Nothobranchius furzeri: one gene and its partners. The protein of the gene in region 2 interacts with the protein of the main gene of each other region in a pairwise test. Links are inferred from orthologs where the notes say so. Each region holds a gene or a part of one and is shown on either strand. Other genes may lie near its edges. The genes, in order: polr2l, coil and snrpf.

Region 1 (5,995 bases), on a different chromosome or scaffold from region 2:
ATTACCCTAGTGAACTAGACCAAATTCTTGCTTTGCAAAGTTTGAATAGTTAAAAGTTAAATAATGTATTTATTTAGTCTGGCTTGCCGGGCTTGTTTGCTAACATTATTCTGTTTTTGGTCCAGAAAACTCTCTCAAAGCAAAGACGATTTTGAAGAACTAATGAGCAGAAACCAGACCATTGCCAGCAGTGCAATCACCAAGGCCATATCTGGGGCAACAGCTGGTGAGTACAAATGATCAGGTGCTGTAATTAAAGTACCCAGAACCTCATAAACCACACGGGGAAAGGATTATTCCTTACAGTTTTGGTTTCCCCAATACCTGTGTCGTCACGGAGAAGGCATCTTGTAGGATGTCGAAACTTTCAGGTAAAAAAAAAAACCTTTTCATCTAAGATACTTGCCCAAGAAGAAACAGATATTTTATTAGTTTTACCAATGTGTAATGAATTTCATACTAATTTAAAAAATGTACTTTTTGTTTTACATTTTTAAATAATTTACGATTGTTTTATTGGCGGCTAGTGATTTAAATTTTAAGAGTTCTGTTGTAATTAAAAGCAAAAACATCCCAGTAAGCATACTTTCATATTGTGCAATTGCAATCAAATATAAGAAGGTAAAAAAAAAAAATTGTACATTTGTACTTTAAGATGGACCTCTAAAAAGTTCTTAAGGGTCAACTTTATTCATGTTTTTTAATACATTTGCAGTGGTTTCTAGTAGGAATGAATGCCTTGTAGTTCGTACTCTGGGGGACAAGAAGCTCCGGTGCGCCTGTTTGAGGACGTAGATGCCAGCTGGAGGAGAACGTAGCTTCAGACGGCAGGATTTAGAGTTTTATTTCCTGATATTTGGATATCTTGCCTTGGATTGGCTAACTGCAACATGACTCTACCACTGACTACATTTGCTTTGCAACGTTGATTTATCTCCACAAATGACACAAGTCTGAAGGAGTTCTGCTGTTGTGGAGTTGCTAATGCTAATCATTAGCATCTACTAGTCGAGACGTTCACTGCCGTTTCCTGGACGGTAAACCAACAACAGATTTCCCCGTCGCGAGTCAAGATGGGTGAGTCCATGAATGTTAAGTGACAGTGTGACTAGATCTGTCAGGCTTTTCTGAACCGAGTGTGTTTCCGTCTAGTGTCTATCAAAAGCTAATGAAGGAAATAGGGGTAGAAGACTGTTTTCATGGTTAAACTCAGTCATTGATCATTTTCAAAAATAAGTTAAAAAAATTTGTTTCCCACTGAACCTGCTTTTTAAAAGACGATCTTATTTCCTGAATTTCTAATGCAGGAGAGCAGCAGATGGCCATGGAGACACTATTAACGGCGATTGCCATCATAAAGCAGTCTAAAGTGCACGGGGATGAACGCTGCCGAGCTTTGGTCACCTCACTCAAAGACTGTTTAGTCTCGATCCAAAGCAACTGTGAAACCAGGTTTGTATATTTAGGAAACTTGGTTTGAGTGCTTGTCTTTCTTAGAGGGTTAAGCTTTTTTCTAATTAAAGATTTTCTTTTTAGCAGGCGTTCAAGAGAGAAAGACAGAGACCGGGACAGAGGTCGTGAAAGAGACCACGACCGCGACAGAGATCGTGACAGAGAGCGATACCGAGATCGTGACCGAAGTGACTCTTACAGCAGGGAAGGTGCGGGAACGTCTCGAAGACATAGAGAACATTCCTGGAGTGGAGACAGGGACAAAGAGCGCTTACGAGAGCGAGAAAGACATCGAGATTACAAAGACCGATACTACTAACCTGGTAAGATAAACAGACTTAACTACAAAAGTTATATATGCTAAAAATTACATTGAGTCAGGGGAGCATTTCTTCCTTTATAAACATTTTAAATGAGCAGTTATTTGTATTCTAATCTTCACTGTAGGTCAGACACAATATCAGGATAATATACAGCTCTTTAACGTCTGAATTTAATATGAATGCATTAACTGAAATCACGAAAGATTGGCATCCCTTTATTTTTTTTACTCTGACTTTGTTCTGGTTTTGTTCCCTTTTCTCCCCAGACTGAAGAATCCTGCCGGGGAAAGATGAGCATTTTCTTGCACCAAGGTTGATAAATGTCAAAACTCTTTGAAGCTGAGACATTGGATGTTTGAAAGTATGAAACCTACTTTTTATCAGTTATATTCACCATGTCTGATTTGTTTTAAGAAAAAGTTGTGTAGATTCATTCTTGTATTATAGAATTTCAACATGCATGTAGTGAACACCTGTTAATAACTTGTTTTCATTCTTTTTTTTGTATAAATTCTACAAATAAAAAAAAATCCTCCAGTGTTTTGTTATAACTAACTACACAAAGCTGTAAAATTATGTCACATTGACAGGAAATAGACATTTAATCATTCATCAATTTTTCCAATCTCATGAAATGAACTATGCGATTAAAACCATTAATTTCCAAAGCTAAGATCTGAAGAGCTAGTCGTTGCCAACCACATAAAATGTAGACGCATGGACGAAAGAAAGCAAGGTTATTCATTTTATTTTAAAAAATCCAGTAATTGAAAAATGTTTCCATAAATTCTTCTCTGTGGTCGTAATTTAAGGTTACATAGTACACACATTCACCCTGATAATGGTGCTACAAAGTCCACAACATTCATTTTTCCAACGGAGCATAATTCAGCAATTTCTCAATAAGATCCACATGAGAAAGAAGCATCCTTCGACAGCAGTACCTCTTCAAGCCAAGAGCGTCAAGAGCATCACTAGGGAGGGAGATGGCAAAAATCAGTCCTGATATGTTACATAAACACGTTTTAATCACTGCTGAAAACCATAAGGAAAGGTGAAAGGCATTGTGGTTTAAAAACAAATCTAAACCCAATCTTCTTTTTAAATGTTATTTAGCTTGCCTGCATTGTGACCAAATGTTGAAATGTTCTACCTTTGTAGAAAAGCTACTCAAACACGTGCCAGAACAATTTCGGACGTAAAAAGATCATGAAACGTGAAGCTAGACGTGGTTGTTTCTCACCCCTCTGTGTATTCCGCTTGCAACAGACCGAGGTACGCTTCCCATTTGTTCCCCACAATCTTCCCACAAGTGAAGCACCTCACAGGGATTATCATCGTTAAATACCTGCAACAAAAGTCAACCCGGTTAATGTTTGAAAACAATGTAAAACAATCACAGTTGAGTCGTTTAACTTAAATTACATTTACGTTTCCGCATACCACCGCAGTAAGACCACCATGTGAGCATGTTTTGCTAACGTTAATGCAGCAAAACCTAGCACTGCAACGATTAAAGCAAACACGTATTTAGTTTTTTTTTTCAGATGGATTAATCAATAGTCCAAAAACGAATTACTTAAAAAAGACGGTTGAAATCAAATCTTATGGTTAGTGCTGTATTCCGCTACGTAACTAGCCCACCAGCTAGCGTTAGCTGCTGTTGAAATTATTCCGCTAAACGAACTTACACACGTCATTAGTTTATCACGTTTTACCATATGTTTCACCTTTTGAGGCTGTAGATCAGATGAATGTACTATTTTCTTGGTAAAAGTAACTCCAGCACGATAATGATGGCGTTCTCTCACTCCTTATGTCGTTAAAACAACTTCCGGGTAAAATCCGCCAAAATAAAAGCGGAATAAGAGGTGAGCGTTTCCTGTGATTTGCAAAATTGACCCCCCCCCCCCCCCAAAAAAAAAAAAACGAAAATGGGGAAACTGACACGGAAAACGTGTGAGCGTCTTCGTCTATTTGGTTTTAATAAATGTGGTGCAAAAGTGAAATAACAATTCATTAGAATCACAATATTGCTACTGAATAATGACCACAGCTCACTTCATAAACGAGCGTATAAAAATGGCAGTACTCCCCATCAAACTTAGCTAACATGTCAAGTCACTCACCTCACAATGTATTTTTCCTTTTACAAAACAAACAACTTTGAAGCAAAAGTATTAATATCCATGTAACCACAGATAAAGGAGTTTAAAAACTCTAACATTTTCCTTGATATAACTAATAAATGCAATTGCAATTCAATATACCATCTTGACAGAATGTTAAGGAAAAGAGCTAAATTAGTTGATTAAAACTAATGTTTTTGAAGGTGGTACCATGCAAAAATAAAATCTTCATCCAATGCAGATAGTTACACAAATTAATATTAACATGAATCCACAAAAGAAATGCTCACTATAGGACTGGTTCACTGCCTTTAATAAGATTGAATTTCAGATTTGTCATATTTTACATTTAAATGATTGGACTCATAGAGGAGGGTGCATAAAGAAAATATTTAAAATATAAAACATACATATTATTTCCACCATAGTCATCTTTACAGTCAGCATGATAAATGTCATTATCATTACCATCAGTAACATTATACAGTAATACATCATCTATGTAATTTCATTTGCTACAGCACATATGCTAAATGAGGAATCCTACCTGAATTATTGCATTTATACGCTGTTGAAATTATGAAAATAGGAGTTTTCATATTCTTTTGTTTTTTAAGAGTACACTGTATTGTACAATGTAAGGTGAAATTTATTTTTGTGTTGACTTACTACTTTTTGAACATGTCAGAGGAGCTGTCTAGTGATGGTGATATGCTCTTATGAGTTTTTTAGGGGGTATAAAATATGGTGAAGCTATACATTCTGGTTGTCAAAACTACCTTTCTACCAAACAGAGACAACCGGATGAGTTTTACAGTTGCAAGCTGAAAGGCTAGTGAGCCACTGTACAGGTGTGTTTGTGCAGTAACAAATTCTTTTCCCCCTTTCAGTGAAGTATGAGTACTACTTTTATGCTATTATAAATGCTTTCATTACATATTTTTGGTGGGTGACTTTGAAAACACACAGAGTGGCATAAAAATTGACTCAATTCTAGTGGCTGACTGGCTGTGGGCTTTCAAACCCATATAGAGGTTAGAATAAACACGCAAACCAACTTCTTCTTTTGTCCCAGAACGTGTCATATTTCAGTGTTTAATAATGTTTTGGTTTATTTTAAACCCAATGAGTTTGTCTTTGTTACTCTTCACCAGAGGTCTGCAACCTTTACTATCCAAAGAGCTGTTTCCCACACTGTTACAGGGCTTTCAGAAAACAGACAATGAATTTTTGAGAAATGTCTAAAAATTAATCAGAATTCTGAGGTTGAAATCATGATTCTGACTTTTTTGTTTTTAGATTATAGTCACAACTCTTGTTTTATCTTCTATCAGTATCTTCTCTATGGGATTTGATTAAGTTTTTAAATTAGGAAAAATGAAATAAAACTTTTGCAAAAACTGTATGAATATCATTCTGTATATCAGGAAAGTTATAAAAATAGTGTAATTCTGTTGAGGAAATTGAATGCAATTGATTCTGTGAAAATACAGAACAGTAGCTTGAATCTGCATTATTATATTAATATATATTTTTTTAAATTAGTATTTTACCATTTTTAGAATACATTATTAAGAGCAATTGTGGAAGCTCCAAAGAGCCGTACTTGGCTCCAGAGCTGTAGATTGCAGACCCCTGCTCAATACAAAGGTTTACCATATTTTTTTGCCACCAACGTACAATGTAGATGTAACGAGTGACACCACAGAATCAACCCAGGAACACTGATTTATTCCTGAGTGACAGAACTGAATAAAAAGGTTTTTCTTTCCAGAATGACAAATGTCAGTTTGACACACTTGGAAAATGATGGAAAGTTGAGGAAATCTGCAAATTCTTGCCACAAATAGGCTCTAGTCCACATTATTAGTAGTGGCCTTGTTGATTACTGGGCCAGTATTAGCCCTGTGAAGGTCAGCTGTTGCCTGTACCCATGCTCATACTTATTCTCAATATATCTAATTCCACCTGTGCAGGTGTTTCTTTTAACAAAAGATCCATAATCCTTTGCTATGCATAAACGTGACTGTTCGTTCACCAACTCTTTCAAATATTCTATTTTAAAGTAAGAGAACTGTGATTGCTCAAAAA
Region 2 (6,657 bases):
ACAACTGAGAACTGTTTCTCTTCTGCGTGCGTGGCTTCAGTGGGTTAGAAAAGAGTGATGCTTGTTTAGCTCTTTTGTGGGATTTGACCAACCCCGCTGGGGCTGCGCTTTCGTCCTTCTCTGACCCTCGGGATCCAACCCACCCCGCCGGGGCTGCTTTCGTCTGTCTCTGACCCTCGGGGTCTGGCCTACCCACTGACCAAAGGTGACAGATCATTTGCTGTTGTGGCCCCCAGACTCTGGAACTCTCTCCCCCTGAGCCTGAGATCAGTGGACTCAGTGGTATACATACAAGGGTGCCATTTCATGAATAGATTTGTAAACCAACAGGAGAATTTTGAACTTAATCCGAAAGTGAACTGGAAACCAGTGTAAATTTGCTAAAACAGGGGTGATATGCTGCCGTCGGTCTATGCTCGTAAGAAACCTTGCGGCAGCATTCTGTACCAGTTGGAGGCGTACCACTGAAGAGGAGGGCATACCATATAAAAGAGAATTGGCATAGTCCATACGTGGCTCTACAAAAGCATGAACAACTGACTGAAGATCTTTTTTGTTCAGGACAGATTTTAGTTTGGCCAGCCGGCGAAAATGAAAGAAACACGACCTGACTACCTGATTTATCTGTGCATCCATTTTTTTAAAAGCGTCCAGAGTGACCCCCAAACTTGTAATTGTCGGCTTCACCAAAACTGACAATGAAGGGTGCAGAGATGGCTCCACAGCCGAGGGGGAGCAGGGGGCAAAGAAAATAGCCTCCAGTTTGGAGCTATTAAGATGGAGAAAATTAGCCGAGAGCAAGGACCTGACTTCACTCAGGCAGTCAGTCAGTGGTTGCACAGGGTCAGCAGATTTTAGGGCCACATAAAGCTGACAATCGTCAGCGTAGAGATGAAAATTTACCCGGAATTTTCTAAAAATGGCTGCCAAAGGTAAAATATATAGATTGAAAAGAAGCGGACCTAAAACGGACCCCTGGGGAACCCCACAAAAAAGAGATCCCACTCTAGAGGCGCAATCTAGGTATCTACCTATCAACTTTACTGTGTAGTCTTTCCTTGTCATCTAGAATCATCTGGCGCTGATCCGTAACTGGCAACAGCTATGAAACTCACAGAACGGCACTAAGAACGCACCCAATCTGACCACAGGATGTCATTCTCACTTCATTCTTACAAATTGTACCTATAAACATAAGAGAGGGCCTTTTTCCATAACCCAGAGTTCATAGTGCATCTTTTAGCGATGTTTAACACTCTGTGAAGAGAGAAACAAAGTTTTAAGTTCAAAAGTTTACATGTGACAATAACAAAAAGATTTTCTCATGATAAAAGAAAAATATGCAATGTTTTATTGGAAACACGTTTATTTGGAATTGATCTCACTCAGATCCCTTTTAAAAAAAAAACAATAAGTCCTTGTCTAAAATTAGAAGGTCTCAGCTACTTTAATATGCTGCAGGTAGCTACTCCATGTTTCGAGCAGACTGCACATTTTATGTATGTTTTCCTCCCCGATTTAAATGATCAGTCTTGGTTCCAACAGAGACTCCCATCGTTCTGTGATCTGCCAGAGGTAAACAAAGGTAAACAGGATGAGTTTTAAGTACACAGAAAATGACAGATCTAACTGAATCTAAACAACTTGAAAGTTTTTGTTGGCAGCTAGTTTTTCCTTCTACATATTAATTTAAATCATTACTGTTTTAATAAAGTAAACGTTTATAAAAAGGGGCTAAACCATTGTCTAAAGTTAAAGAAGGGATCTTAATCTATGAAAATACTTTTTTTCAGGTCAAGCTGAAACATGTAGTTTATCTAAAAGAACTTGGTCACACACACACACACACACACACACACACACACACACACACACACACACACACACACACACACACACACACACACACACACACACACACACACACACACACTTACCCAAGATCCCCTGGGTACAGCATACTCCACTCTTTCTGAACCATCTGGATTCTGATAGACAAGGTCAAACTTGCCAGGTTCTAGAGGAGCTGGAGAATCAAGAGTAAATTAAATCAATACATAAGCACAAAAGCAGAAAGTCTGGGTAAAATACTCAATCAACAGGAAAATAAAATCAACAAACTATAGAATAAAATTACATGTAGCTGGATTAGGGTTAATTTTAACCATGTAAAATAAGAGTTTTTAGTAGTAGCAGTTTATTACAAGTGGTGCTCGCTGCAGAACCGCAAAGGTGGAGCTGCACCAGAAGGTGGAGCTGCACCAGAAGGTGGAGCTGCACCAGGGTCAGCCCCACCCATTCCAGAGTCAGCCCCGTCCATTCCATCAGAGTCAGTACAATTCCTTCCAGTTGTCAGACTTGATAGCATTCTGGAACCAAAGAGGGTGTTATAGCTAAAAAATACAAGATTGAGGACGGAGGTGAGAAGTTAACTGAACAGTTTTTGTAAAGGTTCTATATAATTAAAAATCTAACTTTTGGAACTTTTTTATCATGTTATATTGTCATTTCCTCATAAGAAACACGCCAAAGCCATTTTTGGCCTCATTCATGCATTTTCCTCCCATCTCAGCTTCAATTTGGTCTCCTCCCCTGAAGTGGGCCTGGTCTTGGTTCTCAAATCTGGATATTCTGTGAATTTTCTGACAAATTATTTCTGAAATGACTTCTACTGAGACACCGCCGAAAAACCATACAACCCATCTCCAAAGACAGACTGGATAGGACAATTACATGTAACACCACTTACTTCATATCAGATGTGGTGGGGTAGGGGCTATGGAGGCAGGTTGGCATATAGTTTTGCGCAGGTTCGACTCCCAGTGGCAGAAATCTTAGGTAGATTACAACCCCTTTTCTTAATTTCTAGCTACACTTGCCAGTGCTATGTTTACAACAATTTACTGGTATACCGTTTACAATACAATGACTAATGTGTTTATTTATTTATTCGTTTATTTAGCCAGTGTGAGTCCATTTGTGAGCAGAGTTTCAACTAAAATGCTGTTTAGGAACGACCAAATTCAAAGAACTTTTAGAGACATAAATATTTTGCTGAAAATAAACATTACAACTAAAATATAAACAAATTAAATGTTTCAGCTGGCTAAATAGATTGATGCCGACCTCACCGAGAATCGAACCAGCATCAGCTGAGGGGGAAGCAAAATTTGCTTCAGATGATCTTACCACTGGACTACCAGAGCACATATGACAGTCACTCATGCTGTTGCCCCACATTATTGTTAGAGCGGCTGTGGGCAGATATCTGCTAAAAGAAATCGTTTCATTTCAAGATGTATTCAGGCTTTGTCATGTAGCAAGTTATATTTATCTTGTTTAATTGGAGCATTAACATTTGTAAAGTAGTAACAGCCATAATTCATGTGGGTCAGGTTAGTTTGCGATGAAGTTGGAAAACAAAAACGGAAGTCAGTGGGCTAGGCTGAGTTTGCGTGAATGGGCGGGGCTGACCCTGGTGCAGCTCCACCTTATGGTGCAGCTCCGCCTTTGTGGTTCTGCAGCGAGCACCCTCTCGTTTATTAAGGATTCAGATTCTCCTATACTCAATGTCTACTGTGGATAGATGGCACTGCAAACCCAAAACACATCTTCTGTAACCTTCACAGAAGCCCAAGGGGCTCAACGCCGCATCACCTTCTTTTATTTTAAGCGGAAGCATGTGGCTGATGAATGAAGAGCGACAGTCGCCTCCTGAAGCTAAGTCACAACAAACATGGACATTAAAAGCACCTAGAATAAAAACATGTCCATACCTAGAAATAAAAACAGATTAAAAATGAATGCCTTTAATAAAATGTACACTAGTCTTTGGTGCTCGATTTGACAACAAAAACTTTGTGTGACTTTATTTGGTGGTCGCTTCCCTCAAAGCCACAGGGGCGTCATCCCGAGGCACCAAATCAGCAGCCATAGCAGCAAAGTCAGGACTCCAGTCAGACCAGGATCAGAGGGTTTTGAAGGGACCATTACATGAAAAATCCCTTTTGGTAGCTTTTTAGGACGTAATTGTTGTTTCCTCATGAGAAAACTCCCCAGAACCATTTTTAGGCTGCATCCAGGCATTTTGCTGTTTCAGCTGCAAATTTTAAACTTTATTTTGAAATTCCTGAAACAGCCTAATGTATAAGTTATATGTCACTTCATCTCCCAACATCAGGCCCTGCTCGTCCCCTGGAAGCTAGTCTCTGGTCTGAAACCCGTCTCCCCTGGATATGTGGCGACTAGTGTCATGTAACAGACTTGGTAGTCTAGTGGTTAGGTTGTTGGGCAGGTTCTAGAGGTGCTGAAAAAAATCAATTCAAGTCTGAATCGGGATTGTTTATTTATAGAGATTCAGAATCGATTCCAAGAACTCAAATATTTGGCATGTTACAGGTTTGAGATGCACTTTTGTCTGTTTTTTTTTTTTTATCTTTGTAAGGATAGTCAGTACTCCATTTACTTTTGTGGTCCCATAAATTGGGATGATTTATGTTTGAATCTGCTGATAAGAGGGCACTTGAATGTAATTTTTTCCATACTCATTGAGATATTCTCATATTTATTTTCTAAGTTGATAAGTGAGTACTCAGGATTACTCATGTATTTATTTGAAGTTATTGAGAAATGAGAGAACACATTTTCCTTTGTAAGAAATCTGAGGCACTTTTGTTAAACAGGTTGAGGACTCAAGCGTTAAACTTGTTTCCACACATACTTAAAAAGCATCTGACCGTATTCCTTTCAAAGCTACTGTTAGGTAACTAGAGATTTGTTATATTTTACAAGGTACGCAAAAATAAATGTTGCCTTTTGGTCAAAAGATTGTTTCTGTTTACAGTCTTAGAATAATTTTATTTTACCTCATAAATTAGCTTTATTTTTAGCATGAACAGTTTAAAGTCAAAGAAAAATGTCCCATAGATTTAACTAACTTGTACAACAAGCAGTTAATCCTGGAACTGACACTCTGTAATAATATTGATTGTGAATCGATTTAAATCGAGAATCGATTCTGAATCGAATCGGCACCTCAAATCGTGAGTTGCACTGAGATTCACATCCCTAGTAGGTTCACATGTGAGAAGTAACTTTTTTCTTTTTAACAGCACTTGTCTGTTTGATGTTTCCAACCTTATATTGGTAAACTGTTTAAAATAATAGGACTACAATGTTTTATTTACTTTCTTTGTTTATTTAGCCAGTGTGAGTCTATGTGAGGTGAGGCGAGTAAATCAACTAAGATGCTGCTTGGAAACGACCAAATACAAAGAGAGAAAATGTTTAGAGACGCAAAAAATGTTGCTGAAAATAATCCATAAAACTCAAATATAACAGCATGAAATCTGCTCCAGGTGGCTAAATTATGTATTGCCCACACCAGGATTTGAACCCACCTCAGCTCGTGGCAACCTGAGATGGTCTTTACCACTGGACCACCAAAGCATCTACAGTAACAAACTTGCGTGAGATGCCGCTGTAGGCACGGTTTTCCAGAGCGGAGTTTCACTGAAACTGAGCGTTTTATTTCTGGGTATAAATTCAGGCTGACAAAAATAACTCATATTCAAGATAAATGACATCTCAATTGTTCAGAGGATCTTTCATGGATTTAAAATCAAGAGTCGGAGTACCCGGCCCGGAGGGTTACCGGGGTCCCACCCTGGAGCCAGATCTGGGGTTGGACGCCCGTGAGCGAGCGCCTGGTGGCCGGGCTTTCGCCCATGGGGCCCAGCCCAAACCAGATACATGGGCTCATCCAACTGTGGACCCACCACCCGCAGGAGGAACATGAAGGGTCCGGTGCAGTAAGGATTGGGTGGCAGACCAAGGCGGGAGCCTTGGCGGTCCGATCCCCAGACAAGGAAACTGGTTTTTGGGACATGGAACGTCACCTCTCTGGCGGGGAAGGAGCAGGAGCTTGTGACACAGGTTGAGTGGTACAGGGTAGATATAGTCGGACTCACCTCGATGCATAGCATTGGCTTTGGAACCCAAGTCCTTGAGAGGGGTTGGACACTCTCCTTTGCTGGAGTTGCTCCAGGTGAGAGGCGGAGGGCTGGAGATGGCTTTTTGTTGGCCCCAAGACTCTCTGCCTGTGTGTTGGGGTTTACCCTGGGGGACGAGAGGGTAGCTTCCCTGCGCCTTCGGGTCGGGGAACGGGTCCTGACTGTTGTTTTTGCTTATGGGTCAATCAGTTCAGAGTACCCACCCTTTTTTGGAGTCCCTGGGACAAGTGCTAGATAGTGCTCCATTAGGGGACTCCATTGTCCTGCTGAGGGACTTCAATGGTCACATGGGCAATGACAGCATGACCTGGAGGGGTGTGATTGGGTGGAATGGCCCGCCTGATCTGAACCCGAGTGATGGTTCGTTATTGGACTTCTGTGCAAGCCGCAGTTTGGCCATAACAAACACCATGTTCCATGTTCGAACATAAGGATGCCCATCGGTACACTTGGTACCAGGGCAGCCTAGGTCGCAGGTCGATGATAGACTTTGTAGTCGTATCATCTGACCTGCGGCCATAGGTTTTGGACACCCGAGTGAAGAGAGGAGCGGAGCTGTCAAATGATCACCACTTGGTGGTGAGTTGGATCAGATGGCAGGGGAAGATGCTGCGTAGACCTGGCAGACCCAGATGCATAGTGAGGG
Region 3 (6,605 bases), on a different chromosome or scaffold from region 2:
ACAGTCTGCTGAGTTTGTCAGCTCCGCGCTCCATATCTGATCCACTCCACGGGCGTCCCTCCATTTGCTCCCCTCTGCAGACTTCAAAGGGCTGTCCAGTTTCAGACTGGATCCGGCAGCAGACTGGAAAATTCCCACTCGCCTCCTGAACAAAGCTGATCTCCTCCGAATGATGTTGTCAACGAATGGAAAGCAGCAGAAGAAGCTGGACAAGCTACGATAATTATTATTTAAATCACTTGAAATGTGAAATGATTTATATAAAAATTAGATTTGATGCTCTGAGCCAGTGGTCACCTTTCCCCGAGAGGCGGGAACCGGCATGTTTTTGTTGTTTCCCTATTTCAACACGCTTGACCGGTTCGGAGGCTCATCGGGCTCTGCAGAAGTCGGTTGATCACCTGCCGATTGAAATCAGGTGTGCTGAAGCAGAGAAAACAGTAAAACATGCTGGATACCGGCCCTCGGGGAGGGGAGTTGGTGATCGCTGCTCTAAACACACAACAGCTGCAGGCAGATGAGAACACACCTCACCCCTCAAACGTGAAAACATTAAAGCTTCATTTTAGTCGCAGCTCTTTTTCTGGTGATTTTTCTCTTTTTCAGCTTCTTCGGTCGATGTTTCCTAAAGCCGTTCGACTTGTAGAGGCAACGTTGTTGTTGTGATTGTTGTCATTCTGGTAACTTTGATCGCTTTTATGTAATTTTGTGTCTCTTTGTGGTCGTTTTGCTGATTTTATTGGTCTTTTAGAATAAATTGTAGTTTTCTTTTCATTGTTTGTTACTAATTTAAATGATTTTTATTTCATAACTTCTAATCTTTGTGACCATTTGGTGAAAATGTCATCTTTTTTATTTTATAGCCTCGTAAGACTAATTTTGCTATTTTAAAATCATATTTAATTAATAAATAATTTCCCTTTTGTTTTTGGTTGCTTTGCACGAGTTACTTTCTTGTGACTACAGTTTTTGCAACACTGCAAATTTATTTGTGTCTCTTCATCATTTTGCAGCTCTAAATACGTTTTTAAACACATGAAAAATATATTATGCTTTCTTTATCGGTTCAGTCGGTCTGTCTGTCTGTAACAGATTTTATTACGCCTCATGCCAACAGTAGTTCTCATACAACTCATGCACCCTCTGACTGGCCACTTCTCTAAACCTCGCGTACCGTCTCCATCCCATAACTGAGACCAGACTGTCTGATGGACGGGTTAATTACACGTTGGAAAGGTGAGGTCGGGAAAATACTCAGTGATGTAAAGAAACAAGTATTTCAAACATGCAGAGAGAGATCCAGAGCAATTTCATAGGAATTTTTCTGACAAAACCCAGCCATTTGCTGAATGAAGTCAGATTTCGGTTTTATTCACCATGGCAGGTTTGAACTTGCCTGACTTTTTGGTAACAGACAAACGCTTCAGAGCAGAAAACATTTTTTAAACATCGGGCTTCTTGTGCCTGGAGAAAAACAAAGCTGCAGAGAGCAAGCATGACCCAGTTATGACAGTCGTGCCAGGTTTAGCTCCTAAACCGATATGTTTTCAATCAGTCACTGATCCTGCATGACATAAATAGAGCAGGAGTTCAACTCAAGGCAGATGACATGATCTTGTTGCTGAGAATGAAAACGAGTTTGAAGAAAATTATTACTAGTTTTTCCTGGACTTAATAACTGATTTTTTTTGCCATTTTCTTTTGTGAATGTAGAGGAGATACAACTTTTTGGACTGGACTTTATTTCTGTATCGTGCCACGAACATATAGCAGATACTCTATAAACAACTGACATATCAACCCCAGAGATCGTGCATACATATTGTAGGTGTTTAATTCACGTTTCGTTTATCAGCTCACAGTTTACTGTTCAATGGGTGACTGTAAATGAGAGGAAGAGGGGAAACTTTTGGAGCTTTACACTAAATCACTTGGGTAGCAGTTCGCTCATCCGGCCACTGGGAGGCGCTGTTTAAAGCACGGAGACTCGTGCCCAGGTCGGAAAGTTGTACTTCCGGTCGGCGGTAAAGCGTGCTTCGTGGTTTGCAAACGTTATCGAGACGAACATATTTTACTTTTTTGATTTAGCTTATTAAAGCTGTTTAATTTGATATAAAATGGTGAGTAAGACGTTGTATATCTTTATCGTCTTGCGAATGAACTATCAGGATTTAATTCAGTGTATTTTTGTTGTTTAGCGTTAGCCATGTTAGCTTTTCATTCATAACTTCGACCTAGACCTTTCACACCCTCAAACACATATTAACACAAAACTGGTGTTATAAATCTTCGGTTTCTTATTCCCTTTGGGTTGTAAGCCGTCTACTCGTTCATCACTGTTAATAAACAAGAGAAAAGACCGCAGAGGCTACATCAACCGCTAGCATCCCCTCGCTTCCTGGCAAAATAAAGTCCAAACTATTTCGCTAAGATCGTTTATCAAAAGCTTCCATAAGGAAATGAATATATATTAATAATATGTCTCTCGACCTTTAGCTATTTAATCTTTATAATGTGAGCTAACTCCTCAGGCCTTTAAGTCCACGGTGTCCTGTAGCTAGCCTTAAGAGAGATGATCGGTTTAAAACAAGCGACTCAGAATGAGCTAAGAGCATCTTTGGTGTGTGCTTGCTGTGTTGAAATTCTAATTCCATCTTTTAGTTATTTTTAAAACACAGAAAGGTTTTATTTGCCTGCAACGTTTCGTTTGCGGCTGCAAACTTCGTCAGGCTGACGCTGCAGGTAAATAAAACAGCAGTAAAGCATTTAAACCTTTTTATTAAACCACCTGACCCGGATTAACCTTTGTGTTATGGGAGAACATATTAAAATTTAATAGTGATTGAACAAAATAATGCAATTTAAAGAAAAATAACACTATTAGGATTTAACAGCTTGTTTTATTACACAGATCAGTTGCGCTGATTCATTAAACGTTTTTTATGAATAAAATTAGATTGGTTAAACAGCTGTTTGGCCATTAAGTAATTCATTAGTAAAGTCAATAAAAATGATTTACTTTGCAGTAGATTTAAAGTTTGGATTCTACGCAAAAACGTTTAATTGAATCCGGATTTCCTTCATGTTGGAGTGAGGAGTATCTGTGTTGTAGGACGGACGGCTGGGGGTACGCTGCTGTTCAGCAGCGTTACAAATTCATGAAATGTAGTCGTTAAATGCATTTAATTTTCTTCAGTAGTGTGGGATGTAATGGCTTTGCTGACCTCTGTTCTTCTTCTACAGAGTTTACCTCTGAACCCGAAGCCTTTCCTGAACGGCCTGACGGGAAAACCTGTGATGGTGAAGCTGAAGTGGGGTATGGAGTATAAAGGCTACTTGGTGTCTGTGGATGGATACATGAACATGCAGGTGGGTGCCGTTTCTCCTCCTAACAACCAAACCACAGAATCTTCTCACATGGAAAAATAAACCATTTAATTATTTGTATACCTGCTCAGGATTTGCTACTGCTTGATGATTTTATTGTGTGGTTTTATCTGTGTCAGACTTCTTTATTATCATAAATTTGGTTAAGCCAAATCAAAATAAATGATAAAATTAAATTTGTACCCCAGGAAAATTCAGCTCTTTAGACCCATCATCCTGCTTGTTTTCTATGTTTCTTTGCTTCAACACACCTGATTTGAGTCATTAGGCGAATAATGAGCTGCTTCAGAAGAATTAAGCTATTGAATCAGGTGTGTTGGAGCAGGTAAGGAACTAAAACATGCAGAACCAGGGCTCACTGATGTTCTTTAATCAGTTCAACTTCAGATCATAGTCAGACTGCTGAAAGGTGTTTATCTTCGTGTCCAGCAGGGGGCGTTGTTTGATCAGTTTGAGGGAATTTTTGCTAAAGAGACTGAAGTGAATAAAGTCATGGCTCCAAAATGTCTAAGGAAACTTCATGTAATTATAATTTTACTTATTAATATTAACAAAGCAGCCTATTTATCCTTCAGCAGCAGTAAAATACAAATGTTCCCAAAGCAGGGTGTGTTTTCAAATGTTTGCATGTATATTTGGGAACAATATCTAGGATATGCACCCAGTTGTCAGCGAAATGCAAATCAGTTCAACAGCAGTTGATGAAGTTCTAACAGCTTTTTAAAAGTCTAATCCATAAACCTCCACTGGAAAGAATATAGATGCAGGAATTAGGCCTGCAGCTATCGAATATTTTTGTAATCGAGTACTCTATCAAATCTTTTATCGATTAATCGAGTACTCTATCAAATCTTTTATCGATTAATCGAGTACTCTAATAAATGACCCTTTTGTGTTTGTAAACCATTATATCAAATAGCATGTTATAAAATATGAAAGACCTCTTAAAATGAGTACGCTATTGCCAGTTATTCTTCAAGTTTTATTCAAAATCAGTTTGCAAAACTTCAGCACTTCAACTTTACTTCACAGTAAACAAATGCCTGTGCAAAAAATAAGTAAACAACCTGAGCTAATTTCCCCCGGTGTGAGAATCTACGAGCCTGCAAGCCAGACAAAAACTAGGATAACTGTTGAAGTAGCGCTGCGAGTGGCTGCGGCCCAAACAGAACCAGAACCGCTCACGGCGCATGCGCAATCATGGCTCGCCAGCTGTTTCCCTATTAACACACGTCCGTTTTAATTTCTACACTTTATTTTCTCACACAATAACAAGGATTGTCGAGAAAGCATGTTTGCCGTGGTTTTGTCGAATTATACTGATCACAAAACATTTATTTACTTTCGTTTTCCTCTCATAAATACCCGCGTCCTCCTGCAGCAACCCCGAGGGACAACAGACGTCAATAACAACACAGTAAAAAGTCTGACGTGTTGTAAAAACAGCTATTTTTAGCACATTTTAAGACCGAAGTGTTGCTACCAGACGTACGGTGTGAGCTGAAACTGAGTGCTACAAATGAAAAAGTCGCACAGCATCTGCAGAATATACAGAAATACAGGCTAACATGCATTATCTTGTAGAGGCTCCGAGTCCGCTTGCAGAAGTGACATTTACAGGTGGATGTTTCCTGGTCAGGTTGCAGCATGGAGGATGTGGTGGTGTGGTAGGCTACATCCGTTTTACAGTATTTACACTGGAGTACGTTTTCTGCCTTACGAAGTGAAAAATGGTCCCACATCTTTGACATTTCCTGTCTTTTTCGCTCCACCGGGTCCACGTTGTCCGCCATGGCTTAAGAGAAAGTTAAGTTGCGTTCGCTACTCGCGTGTGCATTCAGTGCAGTGTGTATGTGCGTCACTTATTTCGGTCCGGGTGAAACATGACCCCGGGCGATTGCAAAGCCATGAATTAATTAAACATGAATTAAACGAAGCCTCGAGGCTTTTTTGTACTCGAATTATTTGAGATGCTCGAGGAACCGTTTCAGTTCTAGCAGGAATACCTTCTTTTCCACTCAGAATTAGACTAAATCAGTATAATAATTTAGTCCAAATAAAAAAGTCTTTCTCACATCTTAAATCTATCATTTAATGTTGTTAAAGATGAACTTTAACAGGCAGTGCAAACACTTAAAGGTGCTTTTAAATCCTGGAAAAGGCTTTCATTTGAACCTGGGATGTTCTTGTGGATGAGGTATGAGTCAAACCCTGATATTTACACAGAATTTCCTTTTGAAAATGGGACAAAAACAACTGATTTATGGTCATGTGACTCTGTAATACATCTATCATGTCCCCAACAGCTGGCAAATACAGAGGAGTATGTGGACGGAGCGTTGGCGGGCCATCTCGGCGAAGTGCTCGTCAGGTATTTCATCTCTAAAATCCTCATTTTTGTCTTTGTTTACATTCATTTCTGCTGCAGAACCAGTTGGTTTCTGTGGATCTGATGATCAGACTAACAGATTTATCTCCATAAAGCAAAAATCAGCGGAGACTCTAAACTTTGTTAGTAATTAAAGCGAATAAACGATGAAAGAAACGAAACAGCTTCTGTGTTGTTCCTGCAGCTTTTTGTGCTAAATAACGCGTTTTGTTTTCTCAGATGCAACAACGTTTTATACATCAGAGGGGTGGAAGAGGAGGAAGAGGACGGAGAAATGAGAGAGTGAATGAATGATCCAGCCTGTTGTTTGTGTTTCTGTGCAGCTCCAGCTGCAGTTTACGTGTTTTTGTTTTTTCACCGTGTGAGACAAACAGATTCTTTTTCCACATCTTTGAAACGATTCCCTTTTTTGTACCGTTAGGTCTGTTTTTATGTTGTGATACAAACAATAAACGGACTTGTAATTTTTCCCTAAACAAGGACTTTGAATTTATCCTTCTTCACCGAGTTTGAAGTTTTATTTAAGCCCCGCCCACTCTGCACTTTACTCTCTGTTCAGCAAACATTTGTCTGGTTTCCAGCTACTGGTTCACTTTCAAACTCGCTGCTCACGACGAGTAAAAATGTCCAGAAATGACAGGCTGTTGGTGAAAAATGCCAAACAGGTGGTTTTAATCTGCAACAACGGAGAAAAGTACCTGACAAAGCAAAGTATGAACAATCTCTGCGTGATTGAAGATGGCAGCGTTGTTATTGGAAGGTAAGTCTGAATATTTTTGTACATAAAACACATTTATTAGATTTTAAGCTAGGGATGCACCGATATTAA

The links.
Region 1: the proteins of coil (region 2) and polr2l interact in binary tests that used the Homo sapiens proteins (3 or more experiments, as listed by UniProt). The two-hybrid records come from large-scale screens. The link is inferred for Nothobranchius furzeri from reciprocal best matches to the Homo sapiens genes COIL and POLR2L.
Region 3: the proteins of coil (region 2) and snrpf interact in binary tests that used the Homo sapiens proteins (3 or more experiments, as listed by UniProt). The two-hybrid records come from large-scale screens. The link is inferred for Nothobranchius furzeri from reciprocal best matches to the Homo sapiens genes COIL and SNRPF.

Annotation. Positions count from the first base shown.
Region 1 is NC_091749.1:62,789,899-62,795,893, reverse strand, and holds polr2l (DNA-directed RNA polymerases I, II, and III subunit RPABC5), read right to left. Parts: upstream 3,645-5,995; 5' UTR 3,506-3,644; intron 3,124-3,505; 5' UTR 3,114-3,123; coding exon 3,019-3,113; intron 2,750-3,018; coding exon 2,641-2,749; 3' UTR 2,508-2,640; downstream 1-2,507. Other genes in the region: cleavage and polyadenylation specificity factor subunit 7, read left to right, coding at 126-226, 1,308-1,452, 1,537-1,771. UniProt on the Homo sapiens protein: DNA-dependent RNA polymerase catalyzes the transcription of DNA into RNA using the four ribonucleoside triphosphates as substrates.
Region 2 is NC_091758.1:11,395,202-11,401,858, forward strand, and holds the end of coil (coilin), read right to left. Parts: intron 2,027-6,657; coding exon 1,938-2,026; intron 1,567-1,937; coding exon 1,519-1,566; 3' UTR 1,349-1,518; downstream 1-1,348. UniProt on the Homo sapiens protein: Component of nuclear coiled bodies, also known as Cajal bodies or CBs, which are involved in the modification and assembly of nucleoplasmic snRNPs.
Region 3 is NC_091741.1:34,921,307-34,927,911, reverse strand, and holds snrpf (small nuclear ribonucleoprotein F), read left to right. Parts: upstream 1-1,980; 5' UTR 1,981-2,117; coding exon 2,118-2,120; intron 2,121-3,243; coding exon 3,244-3,369; intron 3,370-5,693; coding exon 5,694-5,758; intron 5,759-5,995; coding exon 5,996-6,062; 3' UTR 6,063-6,255; downstream 6,256-6,605. Other genes in the region: amdhd1 (probable imidazolonepropionase), read left to right, coding at 6,400-6,536. UniProt on the Homo sapiens protein: Plays a role in pre-mRNA splicing as a core component of the spliceosomal U1, U2, U4 and U5 small nuclear ribonucleoproteins (snRNPs), the building blocks of the spliceosome.